Linked DNA regions of Ovis aries. The protein of the gene in region 3 purifies or fractionates together with the protein of the main gene of each other region. This does not show direct contact. Links are inferred from orthologs where the notes say so. Each region holds a gene or a part of one and is shown on either strand. Other genes may lie near its edges.

The links.
Region 1: the proteins of EIF2B1 (region 3) and EIF2B5 purify together in Homo sapiens (affinity purification with mass spectrometry; 7 studies listed by BioGRID and IntAct, counting the BioPlex papers as one, with this or other methods). This does not show direct contact. The link is inferred for Ovis aries from reciprocal best matches to the Homo sapiens genes EIF2B1 and EIF2B5.
Region 2: the proteins of EIF2B1 (region 3) and EIF2B3 purify together in Homo sapiens (affinity purification with mass spectrometry; 7 studies listed by BioGRID and IntAct, counting the BioPlex papers as one, with this or other methods). This does not show direct contact. The link is inferred for Ovis aries from reciprocal best matches to the Homo sapiens genes EIF2B1 and EIF2B3.

The regions. Positions count from the first base shown.
Region 1 is NC_056054.1:203,786,286-203,796,403, forward strand, and holds the end of EIF2B5 (translation initiation factor eIF-2B subunit epsilon), read right to left. Parts: intron 10,104-10,118; coding exon 9,926-10,103; intron 9,840-9,925; coding exon 9,759-9,839; intron 9,483-9,758; coding exon 9,405-9,482; intron 8,870-9,404; coding exon 8,557-8,869; intron 7,648-8,556; coding exon 7,502-7,647; intron 7,292-7,501; coding exon 7,150-7,291; intron 7,028-7,149; coding exon 6,926-7,027; intron 6,609-6,925; coding exon 6,501-6,608; intron 6,365-6,500; coding exon 6,274-6,364; intron 5,976-6,273; coding exon 5,852-5,975; intron 5,179-5,851; coding exon 5,053-5,178; intron 4,637-5,052; coding exon 4,526-4,636; intron 4,360-4,525; coding exon 4,300-4,359; 3' UTR 3,937-4,299; downstream 1-3,936. UniProt on the Homo sapiens protein: Acts as a component of the translation initiation factor 2B (eIF2B) complex, which catalyzes the exchange of GDP for GTP on eukaryotic initiation factor 2 (eIF2) gamma subunit.
Region 2 is NC_056054.1:19,544,209-19,554,520, forward strand, and holds part of EIF2B3 (translation initiation factor eIF-2B subunit gamma), read right to left. Parts: intron 4,562-10,312; coding exon 4,434-4,561; intron 3,299-4,433; coding exon 3,108-3,298; intron 1,305-3,107; coding exon 1,227-1,304; intron 696-1,226; coding exon 547-695; intron 1-546. UniProt on the Homo sapiens protein: Acts as a component of the translation initiation factor 2B (eIF2B) complex, which catalyzes the exchange of GDP for GTP on the eukaryotic initiation factor 2 (eIF2) complex gamma subunit.
Region 3 is NC_056070.1:52,085,741-52,096,656, forward strand, and holds the start of EIF2B1 (translation initiation factor eIF-2B subunit alpha), read left to right. Parts: upstream 1-5,458; 5' UTR 5,459-5,586; coding exon 5,587-5,599; intron 5,600-6,455; coding exon 6,456-6,557; intron 6,558-8,149; coding exon 8,150-8,286; intron 8,287-8,399; coding exon 8,400-8,516; intron 8,517-10,489; coding exon 10,490-10,606; intron 10,607-10,916. Other genes in the region: GTF2H3 (general transcription factor IIH subunit 3), read right to left, coding at 1,727-1,806, 5,309-5,321.

The DNA.
Region 1 (10,118 bases), on a different chromosome or scaffold from region 3:
TCCAAGGCATATGGGATCTTCCTGGGCCCGAGACTGAATCCATGTCCCCTGCATTGGCAGGTGGATTCTTAACCCTTGGACCACCAGGGAAGCCCTGATTTATGCATTCTAGACATTGTTTATTGATTTCCAATTTTGATGAATTTACCTTTTCTCTACCTCACCTAACTTCTTAGGATTTTGGTACTTAGTATTGACATTTTGACTATGTTTCCAACTTTTCTTTCTGGCATTAATCATTGCCTTGCTCTTGCGTTTGCTTTTTTATATAGTGTACTTATCATTAAGTCTTTCCACATAATCTAATAGCTTCTCAATTCATATTTTACTAACTCAGTTAAATGTACTAGATAACCCATTGGCTTTCTTTTCTGGACCCTTCCATTCCATTGCTCTGGTCTGCACTGCTGGCTGTCTCAGTCTGTGAACAGCTCTCATCCTTGGACTTCTTTGCATTATTCTCTGAATTCTCTTTACCTCTCCTCTGTATTGGATTCCAGTTTCCTCAATAATTTGCTCCTCAATAGTAATAAAACACATCCTTTGGTAGTTTCCCTTGAAAGCATGAGAAATAAAAATTTGGGGTGAACTATTATGGAAAAGAATCTGAAAAAGTATATATATATTAATATGTATAAAACTGAATGACTTTGCTGTACACCTGAAATTAACACATTGTAAACCATCTATATTTCAATAAAAAGTTTTGAAAAAAAGATTAACTGGGGAGAAACTTGAAAAGATGAGAGCAAGTCTTAACAATTTTCCTTCAGAATTCTGAGTCACTCCATTGTCTTCTAGCTTCCAGTGTTGCTATTAAGTGATCAGTCTGATCTCTTAATTTTTCTTAAGCATTTGTACAGGACTTGTTTTTAACTCTCTTTGCAAGTCTTTAGGAAGTACTCTTTATCCCTGGGGGTTCTCAAATTTCTTGGTGATATGCCTTGGTGCTATTCACTGTGCTAGGCATTGGGTGAGCACTTCCCATCTAGTTCAACAATCCTTTCTTGAATTATTTAGTAACATTACTACCATTTTTTCCTGTTGTTTCTGCAACTCCTGCTACATGTTGGACCTTCTGGATTGATCCTTTTTTCTTCATCATCCACTTTATTTTTAAATGATTTTACCTTTTTGCAAGATTAAAAGTATTTCCAAACTTTCCCCTATCTAATCGTACAGGTAAAATATTCACAATTAAAAACTCAGTAAGTATATAAGGATGGACATAGTATAATCTCCCTCCTATTTGGTTTTGTACTCTTCCAGTTTTCCAGTAGGAAAAAAATCATTTACCTATTTTTTTAATTTCTAAGAATTCTTTTGTCCTCCAACTTTTCCTTTTCATAGCATTTATTCAAAGATACATTATCTTCTCTGAGCTTTGAGAATTATAGCATTTTCCTCCCTAAAGTTTTCAGAAAGCTACTTTGTGAATTCCTTAGTTTCAATTTTCTGTTTGTTGTGATCTCTACCTTTCATATTGCAAGTTTCCTCAAATGTCTGCTGCTGCTGCTGCTAAGTCGCTTCAGTCACGTCTGGTGGGCCTTAATGGTCTATTCACATTTAAGAGTGAAATACTAAAAGGCTAATTGTAAATTCTGTCCATGTACAGGGCTTATTAAATAACCAGTTTCACTGTAGGGTGATGAGTGGATTTTTTGAAACAAAAATATATTTGTAGGCCTTTTGTCTGCAATTGTTTTGGCCTTAGGGGCTATGTCAGTTGTGGTGACATTCAGAGCCCTGCCACTCATATACTTTCACTTTATCCCTCATTTTCAATCTAGCCCCTCACTCTCATCCCCACCATGTCTCCTATTAAATCCGGTGGTTCTAAAGGTTTATACTTTCCCTGAGGTTCTGAGATTTCACAGTGCTATTTTTGTTTATTGTGCTGGGCACTCATTGACTCGTCAGTTCTAGAAACTCATGACCTTTGGGTTTAGGAAACCTTTATAAGTAGTTCTTTGAAAATTGCCTCCCCACCATTTCTCCAGAGACTAAAGCTCCTATCTCTTGCAGAGAAGTAGGGGTAGTCACTCGGCTGGATCAGATAAAGGACCTGGGGGGGCTTTTTCTCATACACATCTCTGATTCCCCTCTCCCCCAACCTCAGTTCTCAGCCCCAATCCGTACCCCCTCTCCTGAGCCTCTTCTGGGTTCAGAAGGGCACACTGATTTGCTTCTTGTTAACAATCACCTCAGCAGGTAGAGCCCATCTCATTCTGCTCTGCTAGCTCAACCTTCACCTTCCCATTTACTTTTTTTCCAAAATGTTGATGTCTTTCATTCATTGCTGCCACCTTGTTTTCCTTGTCATAGAGTCATGTGCCTTTTTTGAAAAATTCCTCTGTTGACACTGAAAGGGGTTTTGGAGGGAGTAAAAAGCTCATGTGTTCAATCTGCCATACTCAAGTGGAAACCCATTGCTTTGCTTATAATGTTCTCTTCTACTTTTTTTTTTAAAGCCACTCAGGTGTCACAATCCTGTAAGCCTTCTCCCTAAGCACCCAAACTAGAAGGAATATCTTCCTTCTAAAAAGTTCTACAGGCCACTTCTGATCTCTGCCACCCACTAGGTATAAATTAGAGGTACTCTACAGTTAATTGTACTTAACTGCCCCTATGAGGTCCATCTATAACCTTCACATGCTTTCTAGTCACAAGGTCCTGTATTTGACAAAGAAGTGAAGTGAAGTGAAGTCGCTCAGTCATGTCCGACTCTTTGCAACCCTGTGGACTGTAGCCCACCAGGCTCCTCTGTCCATGGGATTCTCCAGGCAAGAACACTGGAGCGGGTTGCCATTTCCTTCTCCAGGGGATCTTCCCGACCCAGGGATCGAACCCAGAAACTGAGATTTACTGAATAAGAAAAGCAAATTAAGCCAAATCCCAGCCACCCTGTTTCTCCCTCTTCAGAAATACTGAGTAATGCCCCTTCACACTCCTGAACACAGTTCAGTATGCCCTTCCTCAGCTTACTCCTTCTACCCAATTGAAATGAAGAGAGGCAACCATTTTATCTATGTCCAAGAGGGCCACTTGTTACCAGAGACATCTGCCAGAGTTAAGTGTTAACAGAGTGAGGATTATAGGAAAGCAACAAAGAACTCAACAAGATAAGACAGAAGGGCATTTCTCACAGTCCAAGTTAAAGCAGACAATATTGGAACCTGACAAACTCCAGTTCTAGAGTCTAATAACAAATCCTTGCTCTATCACTTACTACTTATGGGACCTCTATGAACTTTAGACTCCTCTCATCGGAAAACGGGGATAAGAGCTACTTCATACGGCTGATGTGAAGATTAACTAAAATAACATATATGAGGGGACAACCCATCTCAGATTCTTCCTCTGTTCTTAAGAATATCCATTGCTGGCCTGAGGTTGTATTTGCATCTGGGGGGAATTTCCCTTCACTGAGACACTGAAAATGGTGAAGGAAAAAGAATTCTGGATGAGGATCAAGTCCTTAACTTTACCCCCCAAAAGTCATGAGACCTTGAACAAATTCCCTTATTTTGAAGATGAAGAGTAGCCCTGTTTCCCTGACAGTGGACGTGGATCAACTGGACAAAGCATGTGATGGACTGGCAGGTGGTTAATGGACTTTACATATGCTTGGTATCATCACCCTCTGAAGAAAAGTGTCTGGACTAGGACTCTCTATGGAACTTGGTTTGGGCACACCACTCCAGGACCACAAATTGGTCCACAAAGGCTGGAAAAGAATCTAGCCCCTCCACTATCATGACCATGGCAATGGTCAACTAGTACCATGGCACCACAGTACCATCTAGTGGACACAACACCCCTCTTCTCCCTCTCCACCAGGTGGTTAAGAAAAAGCTACTACTACATCAAAGGTTCAGAACTCTTTGGTCACCTACATCAATGGCTGATCAATCAGAGTTGGAGAGAAACCAAATATACCCCTCTCTGTTTTTTTAATATTAACAAATACAAGCCGCAGAGAGGGCCAACTGCTCTCTGCTATTCCCTGAGGGGAACCAAAGCACAAAGCTGTTCCTCTGGTCTTCCTCTAACCGCAGGGCCTGCTTAGCTCCTCCTTAGGCAGAGCTGTTATCCAGCCCAACTTCCTTCACGCTCACTCCCCAGTCAGGATGGGAGGCACATGGTTGCTGATGGTGGGAAGAATACTGTAGTTCCAGCCTCTGCTCCAGTCTCAGTTCAGATGGTGGTCACTCATCCTTTTGAACTAGTCTCTCACTTGTCCTGGCCCAGAAACCTTGAGGTTAATCAACAACACCCACAGAAGCAGGCAGTGTGACTTCAGTCATCTTCAGATGACTCCTCTTCTGCCTCTTTTAGCCACTGGATGAACCTTTGCAGCTGTAAGGAAGCAGAGTGGAGAGCTACTGAGGGGCACGCACATAACCCTCCTGTTCTCCTTAGTGGATAAACAACCAGAGGCTCAGGGACCAGCCACCTGGAGTATAGGGCCGGGAGCCAGGGAACCAGACACCCACTGTAGTCAGAGGAAGGCAACCTGACTCACCTGCTGATTCTTGCGCAACTGCTGGCCTTTGTCAGTTACCTCCCTTTGGCTGAACCAGCTCAGAATTGTTTCCTCAGCCAGGATCTCCAGTTGGTAGAAAGCCATCAGTACCTACAGAAGGCCAGCAGAGGCGGTCTCAGGGGCCTTGCAGGGTTCAAGATACAATGGGTAACAGAGGAAGAGGCAGCATGATCTAGTGCCTTCCTACCAGGCCCTCAGCTGCCTCCTATACACTGTGCAGTCTCCTCCAAAACAGACAAGAGTGAGCTGTTCACTCTGATACTGGGACAGGTCTGACTTCTGTAACTGTAGTGCTCCACACATTCCCAGGACAACCTCCAAATGGCTGCCTTACTAGCTTGGCTCCAAGCTGTACTATCTCAGCAATGAGCACAACACTACAGGTAGATGACACTATTAACTAAACTCCACATGGATTCATGTCAGTCTATACTGTGTCTCCATGGAGGTCACCAAAGCCTGTTTCAAAGTAAATGCAAGACTATATGGCTTGGGGTGGTATTCACCTTGGCCATGGAAGTGCTAAGAGCTTCATGCTCCAAAAAGAAGTCCTCAATGGCTGCCAAAGATTCCAAATGATCAGCGGCGCGCTTTATGTAGTTCCTAAAGACAGGGCTCCAGGCCTTGAGCAACTGTAGGAAAGAGGAGAAGCTGCAATATATTCCTGAGCATGTACCTAGACCTGGACAGTAAAGAGAATCAATAATGATAACATAGGTCTTTCAAGACAAGAGGTGGTTGCCTGGTGGTCTAGTGGTAGGATTTGGTATTTTTGCTGCTATGACCTGGGCTCAATCCCTGATGAGGGAACTGAGATCCCGCAAGTCACAAAATTAAAAATTAAAAAAGACGAGATTATACAGGCTTTGTGGAACTATGTCATAGGCACCTGGGAGCTGCTGGAAGGACTGGAGAAAAAGAAATTTCCTAGGGAAGGTGAAGAGGGTCAGATGCTGCAGGCTGCTTCAAAATATCTGTTCCCAGTCTAAATGTTCACCTTATTCTGGGTCAGATCATTTTCAGTCGGAGTACGACAATCCAGTCCATTCTGGGTATGCCTTTGGGGTCTAGTACCATCTGAATACTGGAATCTCAAAGGCCACTCATTACTGAAACTAACTTGACTCCCCTGGACAACCAAACCTGCTCTAGAACCCAATCTGTGTCCAGAGGCAAGGAGAAAGGAACCACAAGTAACACATACCCCATAAGACCTTCTACCCCTGATTTCCTTTAAAGTCAAGCCCCCAAAATGTATACCTGTCTCCACTCAACCCCTTGTACCCAGCCTCAATCTTTGCTTACGGGAATCAACAGGGCACAGTAGCGGTTTGGGTCTAGCGGGGAATCCATTTGTTGCAGTGGGAACTCCAGGACCACATGGCTCAATACTTGCATCACTTCCTTCAGGCTTATGTTGTAGGCATACCTGTGGGGACACTGGGGTGACACCAGGGCCTTCACTGGCCCTTTCAGCATACTGTAGGACTATGACTTTGGCAGGAAATTGGGGAAGAGGAAGTCAGATGCAACATGCAAAGGGAAGATTTTGGAAGGAAGAAGTCTATGCTGAGGCTAGAACAATGTTCTCCCTGTTTCAAATGCTACCAGCCTTGTCCAGTCGCGATGTCAAGGGAACATGTTCCTATTTGGGGAAGAATTAGGAGAGAACCTCCACCACCTAGGATTACCCTGAGAAAATGAGAATAGGGAGAGGCTGCTCTTACTTGAGAGAATTTATCTCCAGGACTAGATTGTCACAAGAAATGTTCTCCTCCTTGCCCCGCTGTAGTGTTCCCAGGACTTCATTCTGAAACACTAAAATCAAAGCAAGAATAAGTTCATGGGCCAATATTGCTCCAGGATGCTTTAAGTCATCCAGTCCTCACTTTATGCCCAACCAAACTGGATGTTCTCCTCCTCTGTCCCAGACACTGCTCCCTTGGCCACGTACCTTTGATGTCATCCATCTGTGGAGAGCCTGCCCGGCTGCCTAGCTCTTCAGAATCCATACTTTGCTCACTTTCAGTTTCACTCTCTTCTTCCATGTTGATTCTGAGTCCTGAGAATCCAGAAGGGGTGAGAAAAAAGAAAACGGAAGAGCCACTGACAGCAATATATCTGCTCTGTCTGCATGAATAAATTAATGAACAAGCAGTCTGATTCTGATCCCCTGCTGAAGAAAATGGCAACTCACTCCAGTATTTTTGCCTGCAGAATCCTATGGATAGAGAAGCCTGGCAGGCTACAGTCCACTGGGCCATAACAGTCAGATATAACTTAGGGACTAAACCACTGCCAGTATGATTCTGAAGTGTTCAAACTCCCTCAAAATAACCTGATTTAGATGGTGGGTGGCAGGAATGAGGCCTAGCTTACCCCATAGATTCTGCCGTAGTTCCTCCTCTTCCTCCATGTTCATGTCTGCAGCTTTCCAGAGGTAGCCCTGGCCTGCAACTCCGACTTCTGCTGGATTGTAACCTGGAAAAGACACTGATCTTTAGCAAGGGCCCAGGAGAAGCACCAACCCCTTAGGAGGAAACACTGGTATTTCTATGGGGCAGAGAGACACACAGATGCCCCACACCTGCTGAGTTTCACACCTTTCAGCTTCACTTTCTCCTTTTCTTGGTCAGCCCCAGAATCATCACTGAACTGACCATCATCATCATCATCCTCTGCATCTGGAGGGTGCAAAGAGATCACCGAGCCCTCAGGCAGCATGATATCTGGGCCTACTACCACCTGGAGGAGAAAAAAGGAGTGGGTGGCATAAATCCATTAATGTGTGGGAAAAGTACTCCCTGCAAAGGAAAGTGACTTTACTAAGTCAAGTAGAAAGCAAATGAAAACACTGGATTGGGAATTTCAATTGAGGCTGGATTTGGTGGACATAAGGCACTTTCTGGCTCAGCATAACCACCACTCAGCTGTGCCATGTGGAGCAGGTCTTACCTGGGAAGTAAGGACACAGTGAGGCTTCAGTGTAACATTTTCCTTGACCTCAGCATTGTCACAGAGCAGAGACTGATGAATCTGTGCTCCAGCAGCAACTCGGACCCCCTGCCACAGGAAGGCCTGGTCCAGCACCACATTATCACCTGGCTCAGGACAGGAAAGACTCCTGGTCACCCATGGCTCCAATTCCAGACCAGGCCACTTTTCAGACCATTTGTGGAGAATGGGGCTGACTGACACCAGCAGAGCTCCCATCCAGCTCTACCACTCCATCCCCAAATTACCATAAATCCCCTCTTCCTCTCTAAGCTCAGGCCAGAGACCAGAACATTGCCCAGCCTGACTACCCTCCACCAGTTTTACAGCAATTTGACTATATACTGAACTTAAGAACCTGAGAACCTTTAAGATTTCTGGAGATCTCTTTCAAGAAACTTATTAGAATCACATTCCTGTCTAAAAGTAGAACCAAATTATTCTACCGCTTTTGTTTTGGTACATTTTAAAGTCAGAATCTTATTGTTCTCTTAATGGGGCAGTTTCATGAGAAGCATCACTTTCTTATAACCAAAGTGAGTTATTAAAGAGTATAAAGAACCCTAAACTTATAATCAGAATCAAGTACCTGCATTGCCTCTTATGAGCCATGACCTTGGAGGGACAACCACTTTTAGCCTTTTTGATTATCTATAAAACTTATCTATAAATAATACCTCACAAGGTTTTTATGAGGATTAAATGAAATAAAGTACACAGAACCCCTTTGTAAACTGCTATGTACTGAACAGGTGTTATTGCATGTTAATTATCCAGTTGGTCCTGAATGTGAATACAGGGTACCCTGGAATGCGAAGAGTCACCCAATAATAGGCTCACAGACCACAAATTTAAAGTATCACTGTTTTTACATCCCTGTTCCTTCCTTTATTAAGGCAGCCACTCTAGTTCCTTATTCTCAGGGACTATCCCTCTGTATCCTTTTCTGAACTCATGGGGTTCCCCCAAGTTCCTGCTCCTAGGATGGCCAGCTTGACCTCCCTACCTATACTCACCAATGTGACAGCCAGGGCCAATGACACTGTTAGTGATGGAGCAATTGCTGCCAATGACAGTGCCAGAACCTAAGAGCACGTTTTCCTCCAGGATGCTGCCATGGCCCAGGCTGACCTCAGGCCCTCGGTAGATGTTATGTCGGGAGTGAGTGCAGCTCTGGGTTGTGCTGTCAGTGAAGTTAGCCTCTGGGGTGAGAGGGTAGACCCATCGGCGGATGACATCTGCGCAGACAGCAGCATACATGTGTAGGTTGGAGACCCGGGCACCATATTCCTTAGTTGTCACATGCATGTGGATCTGGTTTCCTAAGATCTAAATGAGGAGAAAAAAAGGTCACCCAAGCAAGCAAGAGAGAAAGAACATCCCCCAGTATAATTCTCTTCTAACTTCCTTAAATTCCCTACTGCTTCTCAATGTCATAGCCAAGTGGCCTGAGACTTTTTTCTGTACTGCTCCCCCCTCACCTCCAGCTATTTTCCTTCCTCCTACAGCTCAATAAAATATAAGACGGGACCAAAAGTCTCCCCACCTACCCAAGGGAAAACAAAATTTCACATTACGTGTAATGGTGGATAGTCACGTTTTTAGCAATCGATTTGTTGATTTTGAGATTTTTTAACATGTCACGGGTGGTCAGATGGTATTGGGGATCTGACAAAAATGAAAAATGAATCTTCTGTGTGTCAGCAGGGTCTACTGTCCCTGAAGTTGGTTAAAATAAAAAAGCAAATGAAGAAAGAGAGGGAAAAAGGCGGGGTTGGAGGGGTAGGGGTGGGAAACCAAAAGTTATCAGCGTGAGATAATATTACAGCCCTCTTCTAAAGAGGCACTGGGAGCCTTTTATTACCTCCTCATTCACTAACAGGCCTCGCACAAAGTCATCTCGTGTTTGGTAGTCGAAGTTGTCTGTAAATAGTTGAGCCACCTGTGTGGAGAAGTCAGAGGGGGATGATGTTAAGTACTATTCTCTGGAAGCAAACATAGCCTCCCAGAGACATGTCAGACACTGTGACAGCAGGACATGGGCAAGAATCCCAAAAAAGTCAGCCAATGAACTACTGGGGTCAAGACGACAACACCTCCTTGCTATAGAACAGATAAGAGAGGGGGAGAAAAAATATACCTTGTCACTTAAGGGGGTGGTAATACACCCTCAGAGTTTTCCTCGGTGGATATGCAGCCTTTGACCTGAGGAGCTCACCTGAGGAGAGCAGATGCTGATGTGACAATCAAGTAAGTCATAACGAATCTCCACTCCATCTCCACTGCCCTGGAACAAGCTCTGTGGAGAAGTTACAAGGACTTAACTCATCTCTCCTGCGGAAGCCTGTCACCTTCCCACTTCAAGGACCCCAGATAAACACATACCAGAGGGAAAGAAAAACGTCGGAGGCCTTGGGTCTTCTGGAAATGGAGCACCTGATTTGTGGCACTATCCACGGCCACTACCACGTTGTCCTCATGACAACGAGTTGGGTGGCTGGGGGATGACTCCTTGAAGATCATCGTCATCACAGACACATTTTTTTCTAGCTTCCTCCTTAACCTATAAAGGACAGGA
Region 2 (10,312 bases), on a different chromosome or scaffold from region 3:
TACAAGGAAAAAAACCTGAGGTTCATACAGAGGAAGAATTTTATTAAGCATCATTTAAGTCTTACTCCAAGTTCAGGTTGTTCATAAACCAAGATTTTAGGGCATTCCAAAACATCTTAAAATGGGAAAAGATTCTTTATAACTAGTAACAGAGAAGCTTTCCTTTGAAAATGGAATGTATCTTATATGTCCACTCCTTGCAGGCCTCTGCTTTCTGTAGGACACTGAGAGGGGGCAGGTGACTCTTAGACATTGGTGCAGTGTCCACCCTGCCACAGGCTCACTACTGTGGTCATCCCATCAAGCAGGATACCAAAGCAAGAGAAGGCAGCTTATCTCAGGACTCCAATCATCATGAGAAAACTGCTAGAAATGCTTTCCAAGACTATGTCATTTTTGACATTGAAACCAAGGCCTAGGAATTATTCCTTCCTTTCCCTTTTCTTCCCCTCCCAAAGCTGATCACCTCCCTAGGCTAGGGTGGCCTCCAAAGCCTCCCAGAGACATCAGCGGCCTTGCCTCAAGTGGGTACAAGGGGAGACATACCCTTCCTCCACGGTAACTGAGTTCATGAGAAGACAATTGGTGACAGTCACTCTATCTCTTATGACACATGATGAACCAATGACCGAATGCTTAATGGATGACTTCTCTCCAACCTGTGTATCTGGCCCAATGAGGCTGTCAGCTCCAACCTGTAAAAGGCAAATAAAAATATAAAATATAATACCTTGTCCCCTCATCTCAACCAACTGCAAACCAACCATCCAGATTCCTTGAGCTGGGGTCTAGTGAGATCTTTTCCTAGAGACACTTCAGCAAGAGGGATCATCACCAGTATTTCTCAGGGCCACAAGGTCCCATAATATCTCTGAGACCAACTCAGACTTACACACTCATGCACTTGTGTATACCGAGGTGCTCTCCTGAAGGCAGTGCTCAAGTCAGGGTAAGAAGAGGGACGGAAATGGAAAGATCCTGTGTCTGAGTTCAAAGGCTGTAACGAACTTTTCTTATAGGGTTTGTGTGGCTGGGCTCAGCGCCTGTCTAGGCAGTCTGCTTGAAAGCCTGGACTGGAAGGTAAAATTTTATAACCAGAACCCAGTTTGGGACCTCCCTGGGGCCAGTGATGTTCAGGGCTTGACACCCCAAACCAGCTTCTCAAAGACAAGCCTCAGTGTATCCTGATAGTGCCCCATACCTGCTCTGCCCGAGCCAGCACTTACCATGTGTTTACTGACAATCTGGGCTGATGAGTGAATCAGTGATTCTTCTGGACAGATAACAGGTAGCAATTTGGACACCTTGAGGAAAGAGGTTTGGTCACTAAAGTAAGACCAGAAAACAACTGAAAACATGTTAAGTAGAACCTCGTGTTCAGTTAAGAGATGTGGGGAATTTTTAGCCACTGCCTCCTGTCTGGATGAGGCAGGCTGAGGTATTTCCCCCAAGACAAGGATCATTTATGCAACAGCTTCTATACAGTCTCATCCTCAGTTTCCTAGTTGAGAGCCTCCTCCCTGAAGTACTGCTGTGTCCCTCAACCGGGAGGCTGTGAGACAAGCCTTAGAGACAGTCAGGCAGCATTTGGGAGAGGAGGTCTGACGAGAGCAAGGGGAACCCTGAGGCCTAACCACAGTCACCTTAGGTTCCTGTTCACCTCCTGGACCACAGTGACCATGCAGGAGGGGAGGATGGGAGTAATCTTAGATAACTCCACAATCAGGACACACCCTAAGGAGGCATCCATGTTCTTTACCAACCAAAATAAAATGTCTAAGGGGACATTCACACTATTCTGTTTCCAGTATGAGAAAACTGAAAATGTTATGGGTGTGGAGTGCTTTAGCTCTGGACCCATTAAGGCAGAGATAGTATATCTGTGATTCTCAGTGTGGAGAGAATGCTGGTCAGAGCACTGTGTGTGGCAGACACTCTAACTGAGGGAGGCCTGGCCAGACTGGCTATATTGGTGATATGAAGGCTAATCCCTCTGTCCCTATGCCTGGGATCTCCTCTGTTATACTTCAGCCAATGCCATTCAGGCCTGTCTGACGCACAGCCCCCGCTGACACGCCAGAGGATACTTCTCTGGCCTTAGGCTATCCATCAACTTGCTTTCAGACTAGCCAGACAGACTCTAGTCATAGAACTGAATAAGGAGAACTAAAAGTCAAATTAAGGAAGCCTTTTATATACCTCTAATGCTACACAGGGGCAACTTTCTCCAGGACTGCCCTGGGTAAACATGGGACTAGCTTGGACTTCTTATAAACCCTGTGGCTTGGATTCCATTGACTATAACCAATCCGGTTTAAGGCTAGCTTGAGGTCTGGGTCTGAGACTGTTACTACTACATGGTGTGGGTCCTAAAGATTCTTGAGTCAGATTTTCTTCAGGGATTCAATTCCAATTCCAGTTTTCCCCTCCTCCTGTCCCTGGCACACAATAAAGAGCTCTTGCACACAAGCTGCCTCCTCATTGTTCCCCCTCTTCACCCTTGCCTTAAATAAAACCTGGCGGGCCTTAAGGGCACTGCTTCCCCTTCAGTAGAAGCTACTAATTCTCCACACTTCACAAACCTCAGGGTTAAAAGGATGGGTTAGCAAGACTCTGCATGCTCTAATGCCGTTCTCCAGATTTCTCTCACATAGGCATTCCTCCCTTGATGCTTTGTCATCTGGGTACTCTATACTCTGCTCCTTCACCTTCTAAGGAAAGCCTCCCCTGTGTGCCTGGTTACCTCCCCTGTGTGCCTGGTTACACAGTATTTATCTGCTTGTTTATGAAGTGCTATGGATATCCCCATGCTGAGCAGAATAGGAGAAATCTGTTGAACCCAGAGGCCAGAAGTGAAGCCTTCCCGAGATCTCGGCCTTTCTTTGGAGCCACAGCAGCTCTGCCTCTGCACGATGCCCCTCACTTCCCCTTTTGCTGTACTTGGGTACCCCTATGGTGTCTCCTGACACACCAGGTCTTGCTCAACCTTAGGAATGTGGGATTCTGTACAAGTTACTGTGCACCTAATGAAGAAATAAGACAAAAGGCTCCGATCTGTTCCTGGGAGATGAATCCCCATGATTTCTCTTCTGAACTCATCCTCTCACCTGTCTGTTGGCTTCCATGTAGAGTCCTAGGGTGCTTACTCGAGAGCAGAGCCCCTCTTTCATGATGTGGACATAGCAGCGCACCTGTGATCTGGACAAACCTTCCCAGCTGTCTCCTAGACAGGCGTTCCAGCAGGCATCATAGGGAGCAAGGGTCAGTGTATTGGCTTCTTTTATAAAACTGTAAATATCTTCAGAACCAAAAACAAGCAAGTACATGAGACAGGTAACAGAAAGGATATAGACTCAGTCAAGTTTTGAAGGAGGGTACAGCTCAAATCTCTTCCCCTGCAACTCAACCATGCAGCATGGACCCTGGGGAAATCCCACTAAAACCTGAAAGACTAAGTCAAAGAGCAAAAGAAGCAATGTGCTTTCATGTACATTTGAAATATTATGACACAAAAATGTTTTTAAAAAAGGTCCTGTAAGCAAGTTTGACTGATGATCAAGCACTACTGGGAAGATAAAATAGACTCTGTACACCATGGAGAAACACAAGTGACTGTCCAGGCTTTAGTGTCTAGCCCTATTGGCTTTGTGCTGCTAGCCTCTATTAGCACATCTGGTAGTTGTGCTGTGAGAGAAACAGCACAGGACCTGGGCCCCAGTTTTTCAACTCCTATAACAGTCATTTGAAATCTTTTATGATTAAGAAAATGGGGGCTCAAAAGACTGAAAAATCTGCCTTAGGTCACAGAATTAATAAAAGGTAGAGTCAGATTTCAAACGCAGGTCTGAGATGCTAAGCCCTGATATCTTAACCATCATGCTATACTGTCTCCATTTATTCCTTTGATAAATACATTTTTGGGAACATCTACTATGAGTCCAGGACTGGGCCAGGGACTAGGCAAGGATATGAGAGCAAAGACTGACCTCATCCCTACACCCTTGAAAGGAGAAAGTCTGTTGGCTCTGGTTGGACTGTCATTATACAGCCCTTCACCTTTCCTCCCTTGATAGGAGAGGCTGAGTTTAGTCAGGAGTGGGGCTTCCCAGAGTCAGAGAACAGGAGAACTGAGAAACGGTGGGCAGAGTGCAAAGCCAAAAAGGTCTAGACACGAACATGGCCAAACCAGGCCTGTTAACCAGAGAACAGGCCTGAGGTATGGTTAGCCTGTCCCGGAAGAGCACAGGGACGAGAATCGGCTTGAATAAGCCTGCCCAGAGCTCAGGGAGTGGTGTAAGCTAACCTGGCCTGCCTGTTGGCTAGATGAGAACCTGATGCCTTGAGACAAGCATCTTGGGCTGGGCTAAATTGTCCAGCCACTCTTTCCACAAGTGTCACTACCTGTACCGTACTGCACCAACTCAAGCACTGACCTAAGGATTTCAGCTCCTTTTTCTTTAGATCTTCTTCTTTTTCTTCTTGTCCTTGTTGTGGTGAAGCTGAGGAGAACTGCTTTCTTACTAGGTATGGAATCAGTTCACTCCGGATGGAAGTGATTGACCTAGGGAGAAAGAGTAGCCAAATATCAGAAATCTGATGGTCTGGATTCAATTAGAATAAAAAACTGTGCATCCAAGGAAAAGCCAAATTCCTTCCTGTCATGCCACCTTGGGACCGACAGAGATCAGAAATGGCAAGGGCTTGGCAGTTCTGGAGAAGCAGAGGATCTAAGTTTTCTCAGTTCAGGCTGGAGCTGGACGAGCAGTGTGTTGAATCTGAGATGCCCGTCCCCTGATCTATGCAGAGAACAGTCTCTTACAATTCCTATTTACAAAGTATGTGCCTGAAAGTTTGTATGTGTGTACATATGTCAACATGGTGTCTTGACTATTAACTGACAATAACTCATGAGAAAGCAGAATGCTCTGGCCTTTTGAAAAAAAAGTTGTTTCAAAATATTAAAATTTTTCTACAAAGGCTTTGTATTTTCCATTAGATTAATCAGAGTATCTTAATTTTGGAGGGATTAGTATTATAGATGGTGTCTTTTCAACAATTATTTTCTTCTTATTTGTTAACAGAATCTCATTTTACTATATTTCAACCTTGGGGCCAATTGCCTTGATAAACAATCTTAATATTAATAATTTATTTGTAGATTCTGACAATCATACCAACTATGTAAACAACAATTTTTCTTCTTCCTTGCTAGTTCGTATTTTTCATTATCTTACCATATTGGCTAAGACTTTCAATACACTAATGCTGAACAGAAGCACTAACAGCAGTTCATCCTTACTTATTCTTGATTTTAAAGGGAATTTTTCTTTTTTATCATTTAGACTAATGATTGTTATAATTTTTATCGCCAAAGCCACTATTTGATTGTCCTCTATGTGTAGACATTGGGCTTTGTACTTTATAGCTAATACTTGGCACATGTTATTGGTTTTGTAGATACCCTTTATCCAGTTAAGGAAGATCTCTCTTATTCCTAACTTTGCTAAAAGCTTTCATCAATGAATGGGTATTGAATTTTCTCTTTTTGCATCCATGGAGCTTATCATATTTTCTCCTCTTTTGCTCTGTTATAGTAATGGATTAAAAATTTATCTGATACTAGGACTATTGATGCTTTCGAACTGTGGTGTTGGAGAAGGCTCTTGAGAGTCCCTTGGACTGCAAGGAGATCTAAACCGTCCATTCTAAAGGAGATCAGTCCTGAGTGTTCATTGGAAGGACTGATGCTAAAGCTGAAACTCCAATACTTTGGCCACCTCATGTGAAGAGTTGACTCATTGGAAAAGACCTTGATGCTGGGAGGGATTGGGGGCAGGAGGAGAAGGGGATGACAGAAGATAAGATGGCTGGATGGCATCACTGACTTGATGGACATGAGTTTGAGTAAACCTTGGGAGTTGGTGATAGACAGGGAGGCCTGGTGTGCTGTGATTTATGGGGTCACAAAGAGTCAGAGACAACTGAGTGACTGAACTGAACTGAACCAAGGACTTCCCTGGTGGTCCAGGGGTTAAGAATCCACCTGTCAATACAGGGGACACAAGTTCGATCCCTGGTCCAGGAGGATTCCACATGCCACAGAGCAACTAAGCCTGTGCACCACAACTACTGAGCCCACATGCCACAAGTACTGAAGCCCGCATGCTCTAGGACCTGTGCTCCACAACAAGAGAAGCTACTGCAATGAGAAGCCCATGCACTGCAACTAGACAATAGCCCCTACTTGCCACAACTACAGAAAGCCTGTGTGCAGCAACAAAGACCCAGTACAGCGAATAAATAAATATTAAAAATTTTTTGTGATACTAACAAGTTGAATAACACTATTCAAAAACCATTTATACAATTTCTACTCTATACTCTCTTACAGTAGTAGAATTATGGGTGATTTTTCTATTCTTTATGCAAATTATCAAATTTTATCATTTAAACCATTCTTTATGTTTCTTGTCTTTTGTTTTCTCCTAGATTCTACTCTTACAGATTCTACTACTCTCTTGGTTTGATTCCGGACTCTAGAAATTTAAAATCCATTTTAATGACTAATCCATCCTAATCCATTCAGTATTTCCCACATAGATTTCAGCCTCCATTCTACTGAAGAGTGGGCTCTCTCATATTAATAACAGTTGTACTCATTTACCAAGGCTACCAAAGAATTTTCACAACAAAATCAACTTCAATTTACTTTCATGAAATCAGATCAGTCTAGGACAGCACTTACAGAAAGAAAATCAGACCAAAGATCAATACGCAGAAAAACTTTCAGAAGGCAAGAAATTTCCTATACTATTTTGTATCACTCAGATACAAGCAGTAAGCTACCCTGGCTAAGAGGTTTGGAACTCTTCCATTTGGCCCCTCTGGGTCCCAGGAGGCATGGTGCTTCCCCATGGGTGCTGAACCAGGATGTTTGGTTTAAATGACTAGGAATCTGTAATGGGGAAGAAGGACCTGATCCTTAGTACAGTGAGTATGCTTCTAATTTATACTTAGCAAAGGAACTGCAAGACTACCATATGATTTTTAATTTTCTTTCTCACACTGTGGACCTTTTAGAATTTTAAATCACTGATTAATTACCTTAGAATTTAACAAGACTAGTAATATGCTGTGACTTTGCTAGACCTTGGAAATACACTGTTTCTGACTTCAAAAAATTCATAATCTAGTGGACAGTAACCTGAGTATGGATTTAAGGAAAAGAGTAGAAGGAGATGAAGCTGCTTAAGGAGGCAATGGAGCCAGATCATGAAGGCCTTCTGTGGCAGTCTAGAAAGTTTGGACTGAGACAAGCCAGAGGTAGTTTTTAAGCAGGAAAGTGACATGATGAGTTTTATTTCTTAATGCGGTGATTCTGGTAGCAGTGAAAATAGGCTTGGAATAGGAGAATGAAAAGAGACCAGTTTCAAGACTCTGAAAGATGAGATAACATGGCCTGAGAGAGGGGTTAATGTATGAGAGCCCAATTAATCTAACTGATGCTTCATACTTCCTATCCCCTCTCCCAGCCCCCATTCAAAGAAGTTCTGCAGGCTGACACAGGACCACATAGATGGAGTGTAGGTAGGAAGGCAAGACAGAGGTGGAGGCTGAGGAGGGTAAGCAAAATTACAAACCCTGGAGCTACACAGTTCATGGTTTTTGTCATTTTTAAAGGATCAAGCCAAATACCTTTGAAAAATTCTGTGTAAGCTGGAAGCTCTTGTATTGAATCTCAATGTGATTTTTCTTCTGATCTTTTGATGAAGATTAAAAATTTCCATATGAATACGAAGAATGAAACAACACTTATTCTTAGCTTTTTTCTCCCCTTTTAATACTCCAAGCCAGTGTGGGTAGCAAATGTTCCTTGGCCCCACTCGGGTGGAAAACAAGTCAGTTCCCTTTGAAGAAATGACAAAGCATGGACAGCTGGGGGATTTCAGAGCCATGATGTTTACATTATAGGTCAAACAGAACTGTCCCTGCAAGAGGCAAGCAAACAAGCCTTGGCACATAGCCTCTTTAGACAGAACCCTTTAAGGAGATCAGATAAGGATGTGAGGAGGGGACCTGAAGCATTCCTGCCAGGTCCCACCTGCCTCTGCAGACGCTCAGCAATCAGGTTGATTCTCATAATGCAGTTGGCTTAGCATCATGATGGAGGACAAAATTATACTTCCTGCTTCCTAGTCAAACTAAAAGTAGCTCAAAGCTATACCAAGAAGTGGGAAATGCCACCATGAACCATTCATTGTGAACATCCATTGGGGCTGAAGGCTGGCAGCTGGATCCACTGCCCTGGCCCTTGGCAACCTCACTTTCTCCTTTTCCTTTTCTTTTTTTTTTTTTAAATTTCATATTTATTTATTTGGGTGCACTGGGCCTTAGTTGTGGCATGTGGGATCTAGTTTCCTGAACAGGGATAGAACCCTGGGCCCCTGCATTGAGAGCACAGGGTCTTTAGCCACTGGACTACCAGTGAAATCCCCTCTCCCTTCCCTCTTAGATAGTTTTCCCAGAAACACCTGCCTCATGTCATAAGCTCCTAAGAAATAAAAAATCACAGAGGAGAACAAAAGATTTGACTACTAGCTGCAAACAAGCAACTCCACAAAATAAGCCAAAATTATTTTTACAAATAGAACAAAATATTAATATTCTTCATAGATAGATTAAAATGTTTAAAATTATATAAAAATATTATTTTCTAAAAATTGGCAATATATAACAAAGGTTTTGAAGATATTCATATTATTTTATTTTATAATTCTATTTCTATATATCTGTGCTCAATAAATATATGCTGAAAAATAAAATAATCAGATAATAATACATCTTTGAACAAAAAGATATTATTTAATGTTATTTATAAAAATAACATTATTTATAAAATAGTAAGTTATTAGTTATTAAAAATAACTCAATGTTATTTATAAAAATAGAGAACCACCAAATAGTCAACAATAGAAAAGCAATAAAACACATATGTAATAGAAGAGCATATAGGCAAAACTCAGTAAACAATTTTTTAATGACACAGGAAAATGCTTGTGAAAAAATACTGAACAAAGAAAGCAGAAGGCAGTTATTTATACAGCACAATCTCAAGTGTGTATATGTATATATAAAAATAAATAAAATGATGGAAAGAAATACATTAAAATGTTCAAGGGACCTCAATCCCTGGTCAGGGAACTAAGATCTCTCATGCCACAGGACTTGGCCAAAAAAAAAAAAAGTTACCAACTATCTCAAAGTAGTAGAATTATGAAAGTGTTAAGTTGCTCAGTTGTGTCCGACTCTTTGTGACCCCATGAACTGTAGCCCGCCAGTCTCCTCTGTCCATGGGATTTTCCAGGCAAGAATACTGGAGTGGGTCCAGGCAATCTTCCCAACCTAGGGATTGAACCTGGGTCTCCTGCACTGCAGGTGGATTCTTTACCACCTGAGCTACCAGGGAAGCATGAGTAGAGTTATACGTAGCATTTTTTTTTTTTTCCTTCCTTGCTGCAGGGCAGGCAGGATCTCAGCTCCTGGACCAGGGATTGAACCCATGCCCTTGCAGTGGAAGCATAGAATCTTAACCACTGGACTGCCCGGTAAGTCCCCAATAGGTAGAATTTTTAAAATATTTTCTGAATCTTCCAAATTTCACTGTCATAGGCCATTCATTCCTCACTTCCTGTGGTATCACTTTCTTGATCTGTTTCTATTTTTGATAACTCTTTGTTTCCTCTAAAATATTTGGTGTTTCTCAGGATTTTCCTTTTTGCCTGTATTTTTCTCATGCTATTCGTCTCCCTTAGATAGATCACTTGGTGACTTCTTTACTACTCATTCCTAAATGTAAACCTATAGCCAAGTTCTCTCTTCTTTTTAGTCTCACATTTTCAACAGCCTGATGGACCCTGTCATTTAGGTGACCCACAATACCTTAAACACAAAGTCTCAAACTGAATCCATCATCTTTCTCCCAACCCTTCTCCTACCCCCCACAAACACTGATTACTTTGCTTAGTGATATGGAGATTCATTTAGTCACCCAAGCTAGCAACATGGTAATCATCTTGACTCTTCCTTCCTCCACTCCTCACATACAACCAGTCACCAAACACTGCTGATTTTATCTCCTAAATCTCTTTCAAAACTATGAACTTGCTGCATCTCTACTGCTACTATCTAGTCTAAGCCACTGTCATTATTTGCCTGGACTCCTTCAGCTGCTTTCAATCAGTTTCTTTTCCTCTAGTCTTACCGCATAAAATCTATCCTTTGTATTATATACAGAATATCCTTTCTAAAGCAC
Region 3 (10,916 bases):
GTTACGATCAAGTACATAACTTGTTCTTAATGGTGAGAACATGTCTAATTTAAGAATTTAATTAAGAACATGTCCAATTTAAGAATTTAAAAATTGGACATAACATTTTTATATGAATTTCATCAGAGAAAATATACAGATAGCTAGTAAGCTTATGAACAAAAGACTCAACATCATTAGTCATTAGGGAAATGCAAATTAAAACCACAATGTGGTACCACCACTTACCCTAGAATGACTATAATCAAAATGACACATGACACTTTCCTGGTGGTCCAGTGGTTAAGAATCCACCTGCCAATGTAGGGGACGTGGGTTCAGTCCCTGGTCCGGGAAGACTCCACATGCCATAGAGCAACTAAGCAATGTGCCACAACTACTGCGCCTGTGGGCTGCAACTACTGAAGCTTGTGCGCCCTAACGCTGGCATTCCACAATAAGACAAGCCCACACGCTGCAACTAGAGAGGAGGCCCCGCTCACCAAAACCAGAGAAAGCTGCATGCAGCCACAAGGCCCAGCAGAGCCAAAAATAAAAAATAAAGGAAAGTAATTAATTTTTAAAAAAAGGATAGGAATTTCCCTAGCAGCCCAGTAAAGACGCCACACTTCCACTGCAAGGGGCATGGGTTTGATCCCTGGCTGGGGAACTGAGATCCCACATGCTCTGGGTCATGGCCAAATAAACAAATTAATTAAATAAATAAAACAGCCTAGTCCCAGGTTCTCTTAAAAAATAATAAAAGAAAAAAGCTACCATCAAAAGCTACATACTATAGGATCTATTTATGGAACAAAATTATAGACCTGGAGAACATATTATTAGATTAGCACCAGGGACTAGAAAGTTGCAACAACCATAGAGAGAGCACCGGGGAGCTCCTTGGGATAGAACAGCTGTGTCTTGATTGTGGTGGCAGTTACACAAATCTCACATGTGCTAAGATTCCAAGAACTAAACATACACACACAGGTGCACGCAAAACTGTTGTTATCTGAATAAGGTCTGGAGATTGTACTGATGTCAATGTCCTGGTTTTGCTCTTTGTACTGCAGTTACAGAAGATGTTAGTACTGGGGGAAGCTGGAGCCAGAGCACACAGACCTCTCTGTACCAGTCTTAATTTCCTGTGATTCCATAACTATTTCAAAATACAAAGTATTAAAAAAAAAAAGACTATATATTATATGGAATCAATATATGAAATGTCCAGAAAAAGCAACAGAGAGACGGAAACCAGATGAGTGGTTGCCTACAACTCGGGGGAGGGCTTCCCAGGTGGCTCAGTGGTAAAGACACACCTGCCAATGCAGGAGATGCAGGTTCAATCCCTGGGTCATGAAGCTCCTCTGAAGAAAGAAATGGCAACCCACTCCAGCATTTTTGCCTGAGAAATCCCACAGACAGAGGAGCCTGGTGGGCTACAGTCCATGGGGTCGCAAAGAGTTGGGCATGACTTAGTGACTAAACAATAACAGCTAGGGCGTAGAAGCAGTGACCGACTGCAAACAAGCACGAGGGAACCTTCTGGAAATAGAAGTTTTATAAAATGGAATTGTAGTAGTGGTGATTATACAACTTTACTGGGATTTTTACTAAAAAACACTGAATTATACATTATAATGGGTGAATTTTATGGTATGAAATTATAGCTTAATAAAAAAGCAATATACACATATACTCAGTCAAATCAGAACTATCCAAAAGCCTTCCCAAGCAGCCTTACCTGAGACTCCTTTAATGCTTGCTTTCCCCACCAAATAGGGTTGGTATCAACTATGATAACTAGAAGATTCAATTCATCTTCTGCAAATATTAACAAAACAAAATTAGCCTCATAAAAGTGAAACAAAGCTAACATTTCCAATTTGTAAATTAAATCCAAAGCAAGCACCACTACATGCCTTTCTATGTATATAAGCTACCATCATAAAAGGAACACAAGATCAAGGTTTTTTTTAGACTTAAAGCTCTGGAGGCCCTTAGAGAGCTCTTGCTTGCCTTCTGCACATTGACACCTCTCATGCACTGCAATAGCCACCTCCAGCCTTTTTGGCACCAGGGACGGGTTTCATGGAAGACAATTTTTTCCACAGGTTGTGTGTGTCAGGGGGGTGATGGTTCATTCCAGGATGACTCAAGAGCACTACATCTACTGTTCACTTTATTTCTATTATTGTTACATTAGCTACACCTCAGATCATCAGGCATTAGGTCCCAGAGGTTGGGGACCCCTGCAGTAGACTATGAACACTGTGCAGTGGGACTTTTGTCTCTTCTGTCACTGTTTGTTCTCTGCTCTGAACACAATGCCTAGCATGGGGTGGATGCTCAATAAACATTTTATGACCCCAAAGATACATGCATCACAGATGTCTGGTCAAGGACAGAGGGCACTGATGGACCAGCACTAAGAACCACTAGCAGAATTTCAGGCATGGGGTAGGGCTGAGTGGAGAGAGATTTAAAGGGAGACGCAGAATCAGTCTGGCTCCAGGTACATCAAATCACCTTCCATCAAGGCCAATTACAATTAGTAACCAATCTTTAAAAGGTAAAAACCAGAGTGAAAAGCAATGGCTGTGTAAAGACTTTATTGTGGAAAAAAGTAAGCTACTCTCTACAAAGTGAAAGACACAACAAAACAGGCTAACACATTAATTAATTCAACAAACACTTACACTGAGTTACCAGTGTTAGGTGTTGGGGATACTGGATGCAAGCCCTCAGGGAGACTATATTCTGAGGTGACAGACATATGAACCAGTAAGCATACACTGTTATAAAAAACCCAGGATGCTCATTTAATAGCAGAAAGCAGCAATGCCTTGCTTACATACCCATATCCTATTTACTCTCCAAGGTCCCAAAACTTGCTACCTCCTTATTCAACAACAAGTCCTGGCTCCCCCATCTCAGAAGAGAGGAAATGTCAGCCTTTCTGTGTCAGACCTCGAACATGTAATCCTATCTTCCTGTCCCATTGCTGACAGCTCAGAAAGGGACTTAATGCTATCTTTCGCTTGTTGTTGTTGAGTCCAACTAAGTCGTGTCCGACTCTTGTGTGACCCCCATGGACTGTAAGCTGCCAGGCTCCTCTGTCCATGGGATACTCCAGGCAAGAACACTGGAATGGGTAGCCATTCCCTTCTACAGGGAATCTTCCTGACCCAGAGATTGAACCCATGTCTCCTGCATTGGCAGGTGGGTTCTTTACCAATGAGACACCAGGGAAGCTATCTTTCACCAATTATAAGATGTACTCCCTCCTTTTTTTTTTTTAACATTTGACAGTTGCTGAACTCAGGAAGGTACCTACCATTATGACTGATCACATTTTTTCTCTTAGTGATATATTAAATAAAGTAAAAGCATATTTCATAATCATATTGTCTTAGATCAGATGAAATATCGTATTCCTATTTTGCAAGAGAAAGTAACTTGCTCTAAGTCACATGGCCTGCTAACAAGTAACAAAGCTAACACCCAGCTCTGCAAGACAGACCTGCTTGACTCTAAAGATCGTGGCTAAAAATGACACAGATGAACCTACTTGCAGGGCAAGAACAGACACAGACATAGAGAAGGCACATGTGGACACAGTTGGGGGGGGACGAATTGGGAGATTAGGACTGACATATATGCACTACCATGTGTAAAACACATAGCTAGTGGGAAGCTGCTGTTTAGCACAGGGAGCTCAGCGCAGTGCTCTGTGATGACCTAGATGGGGGCTGGGGCTGGGAGGGAGGGAGATCCACGAAGGAGGAGGTATCTGTATACAGATAGCTGATTCACTCTATGCTGTTGTACAGCAGAAACTAACCCAACATTGCAAAGCAATTATACTCCAACAAAAAAACTGAAATAAACACTGTGGCTTTTCAATGCCCTATTGCCTCCTTCTGACACCCACAGTGCTGTCTCTCTTCTGATGACAGTACACACGACCTCATTTTACACTTAGCTGTGCTTCTGATCTCTCTTCCCCACTCAGCCCTCTTAATCGTGGACTTCTTAGAGAATCAGGAATGTTGTGTAAATCACAGAACAAAGTGTTTAGCACAGAACAGTCAGTTAATAACTGTCTCTCCCACAGGCCCTCAGTCCTCTGCCCAAAAGCCTTTGGCCTTATATCTCCATCAGGTTCCACTCCCCAATTCTCAGAACCATACAGTCCTTGCTACTATCAAGCCTGAGAAAAACAAAGTGTCACCTGTCAGGAGAGATGTGGATCCATACACATGGAATGTCCCTGTGGATTTCTTTCTTTGGGTCTCTACCTCCTCGTTTGTAGACAGGGGCCATACCAGATCTGCCTCCTTCATAGAGTTGTGATATTAAAACAGATAAATGATGCATGGACAATTGTTACTGCCCCTGAAAGGACCTATTTCTATTCTTGCTCTCCACAGTCCATTTCCCACACAGCAGTCAAAGTAATCTTTTAAGACAGTAAATCAGGGAATTCCCTGGCAGCCCAGTGGTTAGGATTCAATGCTTCCATTGCAAGAGGCCATGGGTTGGATCCCTGGTCAGGGAACTAAGATCTCGCAAAAAAAAAAAAAAAAAAAAAAATCGTAAATCAGTAATACTTTCTTGCTAGGAGCCCTAAAACGGCTTGTATTACACTTAAAATAGAGATCTGGTCCCAGAAGGGACCTGCACCTGGCTAGCTAGCTTTCTGATCTCATCCCTCTATTCCGCCCTGCTCCCACCACGCTGGCCTCTTTTTCCTCCCTTTAAGACATCAAGCTTCGTAACTGGTAGTTTAATGTATAAACGAAAGTCTCCACCCTCCTCAACCCGCAGGTGTCCCCTTTCCGTCTTCCCATTGCAATGTATTGATCAATTTGTCACAAGGCCTTCACAGAGCCTTTATAAAGTCACTCAAGTCTTAGTCTGAATATCACTAGTCTTCTCTGGACCCATACGAAAAGCAGCTCCTCCTGTTTCATCCCTGAATCACAATCGACACCATCATCACTTTATACTGTCGTCACAGCTCTTGTCACCCTTCTAAATTATTTTTTACTTACTTGCCTACTGTCTGTCTCGCTCACTAGACTGTACCCTCCGCTAGTCTGTCATGTTCTCTATGTATCTCCCAGGGCATGAAATAACGCCTGGCACACAAGAGGCGCTCCCAAAATATTTACTGAATGAATGAACGAATGAATACATTTGCTACTCCTTTAAAGAACAAACAGGCTCCACCCAGCCCCCAAAATACAGTCCATTTGGTAGGTCATCGCCGGGCAAAGTCTCCTTAGTCCCGGGATCCGGCTCCCGCCGGCGCGGCCCTCACCGTCTGAGACCATGGCGACCAGAGTCCCTCGGCGAACAGCCACTTGCAAGCAAGCAGACCTACAGAAGTGTACAAACCGCGACTTCCGGCGCCGCCGAGTGACGTAAGAGACGCCGCGCGCCTTACCCACAGCCCCGCCCCCAAAGCGCCGGAAGTGGAGTGTAGAGCGTGGCTGCGCGCTGTCAGTCAGTGTGGTGTGGAGTCCGCGCGGCGGCGGGACCAGTCCAGGCGTCTCGTGCGGCTCTGGGCCTCTCAGGCTCCGCGGTCCAGAGTGCACCATGGACAACAAGGGTAAATTGGGACGCGTCGGGCCTGCTGGGCCTAGAACGGAGCCTCGCAGGGATCCCTCCACCTCACACGCCCAGACTGGGCTCCGTCAGTTTTCAAGCTCAGGCGGTTTGGTCGGATGTGGTCCCTCTAGTCACAACTAAAACCCTCTCGCTGCTCGTGTATCCAGGGAATGGGTCTTGGGTGTATCCCCAGACATCCCTTCTGCCCACGCTTTCCAGTGCCTTCCAAAAAACGTGAGATTTCGGACGAATGTGCAGGTCTTCGAAGTCTTGATTTCTTCATATGTGAATTATGAGTAAGACTCCCTGAACCTGCCCTGTTGAATCTGGTACCAGAATCAAAAGAAAGGCGTATTTGATGTGCCTGTCTAGAGTGGTTATCAAGCTGTTTTATTAAGAACAAGGGCAAACTAATATGTATATAGTACCTTTCATGTAAAAAAGCAGAGTAGACTTCTACATCACATTCATATATATGTAGGTGAATAGGCTTGACTTGGCATAGACTGTCTGGAGGGGTGCAGGAGAAATCAGTAAGCAGGTTGGCTCTGGGATTTTTTGCAGACTTGGGGTCAAGAATAAGGGTGAGAATGACCTTTCACTATCATTTGGTGGAGCTTAAATTTTATTCCATATTACATGGGCTAGATTTTTCAAAATGAGAAAGAGCTTGCAAATAGTAAAGTGATGTCATCTCTATTCCCATCAACATTTTCTGTGTCCCTGAAGCCAAACACCCTGCAAAGGAACTATTTTTTAAATTAGTTTGCTTTTTAAAGTGAGCAGTCATTGATAAGCTCTGTGATTGTCTCTCCTGCTAAATGAATTCGCTGAATCACTTTTTTCTCCCTTCCCAGAGTTAATCGAATACTTTAAGTCTCAGATAAAAGAAGATCCTGACATGGCCTCAGCAGTAGCTGCCATCCGGACTTTACTGGAGTACTTGAGAAGAGATACAGGTAAAGGGGGTCTGCCTCCATTGTTCCAGGTGTTAGGAAAGTCTGCTTGTAACTGTTAAAATTGTAGAAAGTGAGAGATGGATGTGTGCTGATATAAGGTAATACAGCCTCAAGCTCAGTTTCTCCCTTCATTTCAGTCCTTTCAACTTGGAGAGAGCCCTCAAATGGGTCTCTTTTTTTTAATTTTTTTTTATGTGAACCATTTTTTTTAAGGTCTTTATTTGTTATCATGTTGCTTCTGTTTTATGTGTTGGTTTTTTGGCTGTGTAGCATACAGGATCTTAGCTCCCCAACCAGGGCGCTGTTTGATAACCAGCACCCCCTGCACTGGAAGGCGAAGTCTTTAACCACTGGACTGCCAGGGAAGCCTCTGAAGCGTACTTTGAATCAAGAAGGACCATATTATGCCAGGTTAACTGTGAAGCTTAAATTATAGCAATCGTTCAGCTTTACAAGTGTTTATTAACCTTCTGTCTTGTGACAGATTCTTTGCAGTTGCTATAGAGAATGTTCTAGTATAAATTCTAGCTTTAATATCATCATTGTGAGCACTGCGAATTCAGTCATCCCAAATGTAAACATCTGGGTATAAACAAAATAATAATAAAAATAATAAATTATTCTTTAATTTAAAGGGCTGACCTAGAGATGCATGTCTCTAAGACAACCTCCAGCATCTTCCCATTATTCTTATACTAATATCCAAACATCTAAGCCTTACCTGCACCACCCTGCAGACCTCTTCTGTCACTACTTAATTTCCTTCCATGCTGTCCCTCGCTGAACTGTGCTTCACTCTGGCCTTTCTCATACCAATTTTATTCCCATCTTGGGCCTTTGTGTTGGTATAGTCTGCATCTGAGGCTTTGCCCACTGCATCTTTACTCAGCTGGATACTTTCTTACTCAGGTCTCTGTTTAAAAGGCCCGCATTCCAAGAGATCATCCCCTGTTAACTCTTGTCTGAAGTAGTTCCACCTTTTGCATCATTCTGCTTTTTTCTGTCCTCAGTTCAATCTGAATAACTTGTTTATTTCTTTGTGTGCTTGTTTACTGTCTACCTCTCCCAGTAGAAGGAGAGTCCTGGAAATTCCCTGGCAGTCCATTGATCAGGACTCTGCACTTCACTGCCAAGGGGATCAGGGGAACTAAGATCCTGCAAGCCAGGCAGCACAACCAAGAAGAAAAAGAGAAAAGGAAAGGAAAGGCAGTTTCATCAGAACAGGGGCTGGTCATGTTCACCGATGTTATCTCTGGCATCTAGGAAGTGTGTGTGCTCAGTTGCTTCAGTCGTGTCCAACTCTTTGTGACCCCATGGACCATAGCCCGCCAGGCTCCTCTGTCCATGGAATTTCCCAGGCAAGAGTACTCGAGTGAGTTGCCATTTCCTTTTGCAGGGGATCTTCCTGACCCAGGGATCAAACCCACATCTGCATTGTAGGCGGATTCTTTATCTGCTGAGCCATCAGAGAGCCTGGCTACAGCCTACACCCAGTCCACTGGCTGAATGAATGAATGAGTGAATGAATCAAAGACCCATCAAGGGGCTGTGATACTGAAATGAACATCATGTTGCTCATGTGATCATTCCAGGAGAGACAATCCAGGGCCTGAGGGCGAATCTCACCAGTGCCATAGAAACCTTGTGTGGCGTGGACTCTTCCGTGGCCGTGTCGTCGGGCGGGGAGCTCTTCCTGCGTTTCATCAGCCTTACCTCCCTGGAATACTCTGTAAGCCCTGCCCTCCCCAGGTCACAACTCTGCTTCTGTGTTTAGCCACAAGTAGTCTCAGCTTGACCTAGATCCTCCCCTTCCCCTCATGTTGCTCTTTTTTTTTTCCCTAGGATTACTCCAAATGTAAAAAGATCATGATTGAGCGGGGAGAGATTTTCCTCAGGAGAATATCACTGTCAAGAAGTAAAATTGCAGATCTGTGCCATACTTTCATCAAAGATGGGGCGGTGAGTACGTCATGATCGTGGGTGGTGATCGGGAGCAAGGACTTTGGCATCAGACTCCTGGGGTAAAATCCCGCCTCTGCCACTTACTTGCTGTGTGATCTTGGACAAGTTACTTAAGCTCTCTGTGCTGTACTTTACTCATCTTTTCAAATAAGGATAAGTATAGTACTTAACTCATAGGGCTGCTGTAAGGATTAGTATAGGATTACTGCTATATCATAGGCAGTTGTCATTTTAAAGAGGCAGAGGAAAACCCTGGGACAGCATGGATGATTCTCAATTTGATAAGCTGTCTTACTAAAGAAGTGTTTTTTTCTTATGGATATGTACTAAACTGATCTGAATTAAATCAGCACAGCTCTTGTCACTGGTTCATCCTGACTTTCTTCCTGCCGAAGGTTAGCACTGGATTGAGATTTCTTCATCGTCATTCCAAATGCTGTCACAGAGATGCAAAGCTGCCAGGTGTTGATAACCTAAGTGAGGAAAGACAGGAGCACCACATTAAGTCAGTCTCCCAGCAAAGGGGTCATGAAACTTTTATGACGTCTCTTCCACCAGCACATATCCTTTCTGCCAACTAAGCCTCCACCGATTGTAAAAGTATTTACTTGCATCTGGACTCTGAAATCTTGTCCTCTGTTTTATTACTCCCTTCCCGGCCTCTGAATTATGTTATTAAATAAATGATGTAATAGATGCCACTGGCACTGGTACAAAAGCCAGCTTCAAACAAAGCCATTCTGAGACCAGGTGGAGGCAAGCTGGTGACTGCTTCTCGCCGAGGCCTCCTCCTTCCCAGCAGTTGGACTACAGGGTTCATTCATCCTCGTGGAGTTTAATGTGTGGTAACCACCTGCATCAGTGCTATTTAGGGTAAATTATGAGCAGAGTGGCTTAAATTCAAGCATGCAGGTGAACCACCTGGAGATCTTCTAAAGTGCATATTCTGGGACTTCTCTGGCAGTCCAGGGGTGAAAACTTTGCACTTCCAATGCAGGGGGCATGCTTTCAATCCCTGGTCAGGGAACTAGGATGCCCCTGTGCCATGCAGCACAGCCAAAATTTTTTTTTAATATAAATTTGTAAATATAAATTAAAATGCACATTCTAGTTCAGTGAGACGAGTGGGGCCTGAGAACGTGCATTTCTAACAAGCTCTCAGGCAAGACCCAGAAAGGAGCCAGGAAGCTGGTCCCTCCATCTTGCTTTACTCTGTCCTCTGCACTCTGTTCCTTAGAACATCTTGATTCCATCTAAGTATCTGCAAATTGTATCCAGTCCATAGTTGGGTTGTGTTTATCCCCAAATTGTATAAAAGTTTTAAAAAATGAGTCAACACTGAAATACTGGATTTTAGCTCCTCTAGAAAAATCAGAGGATCCAGCAACAGTGGGCCCCATGTGACAACAGCCGGAGGTCAGCCTTCGTACTCTGCTGCTGGCCCCACCAGCCTCTGCATCTCTTTATGCCAGCTGCCTGGTGCTTGAAGGCCCAAGTGTGCAGGCTAGGTCTTAGAATTAGGGAAACCAACCCAAAGGAACCTAACAGCCTTCAGACAGAAAGGCTTTTGTATCTGAGTACCACCACATGGAGATGCCACTTCTGTACTTGCTATGAAAAGATGAGACCCATGATATATTCCTCTGGCAGAAAACTTTTTTAGATTGTATCAATAGGGACTTCCTGACCATCCAGTGGTTAAGACTCCAAGCTTCCTTGCAAGGGGCAAGGGTTTGATCCCTGGTTGGGGGACTATGATCTCACATGCAGCATGGTGTGGCAGAAACAAAAAGTATCAATATATGGGCTTAAATTCAGTGTATTGTCAAGGATCTGCTTTCTGATTACAATTGATTTGTGTGAAAGTATACAGAGCAGCTTTAGGGTACCAGGAACACACATTGGAGTGGCAGAGAGTCTGAGTGATTGTTGGAAGTTTACACTTATGACGGAGCTTTCTCTACCCACAGAGAATATTAACGCACGCCTACTCCAGAGTGGTCCTGAGAGTCTTGGAAGCTGCCGTGGCAGCCAAGAAGCGTTTCAGTGTGTACATTACAGAGTCACAGCCTGACTTATCAGGGCAAGTATCTTTCTATGTGGTCATGTGCCCAGCAGTCCCTTTAATGAGCAAACTGAGGATGAGACTCCATTGTAAAAGGAGCCAGATGAAGTCCCCGATTTGTCTGTCAATCAGCATTGCCTTTCACACTGCCCATCCCTGCTCCTGGAAGAAAAATCACCATGAATTTGGAGTAGGTCACAGTACAGCATCTAGGGGTTTTATTTAGTACTTAAATCAGATATAAACTGAAAGGTTTATATCAAGGAATAGGTAGTTACATTTCTTATGTATCCAGAACATAATAAAACCCCTTTTTTTCTGAATTTACATAT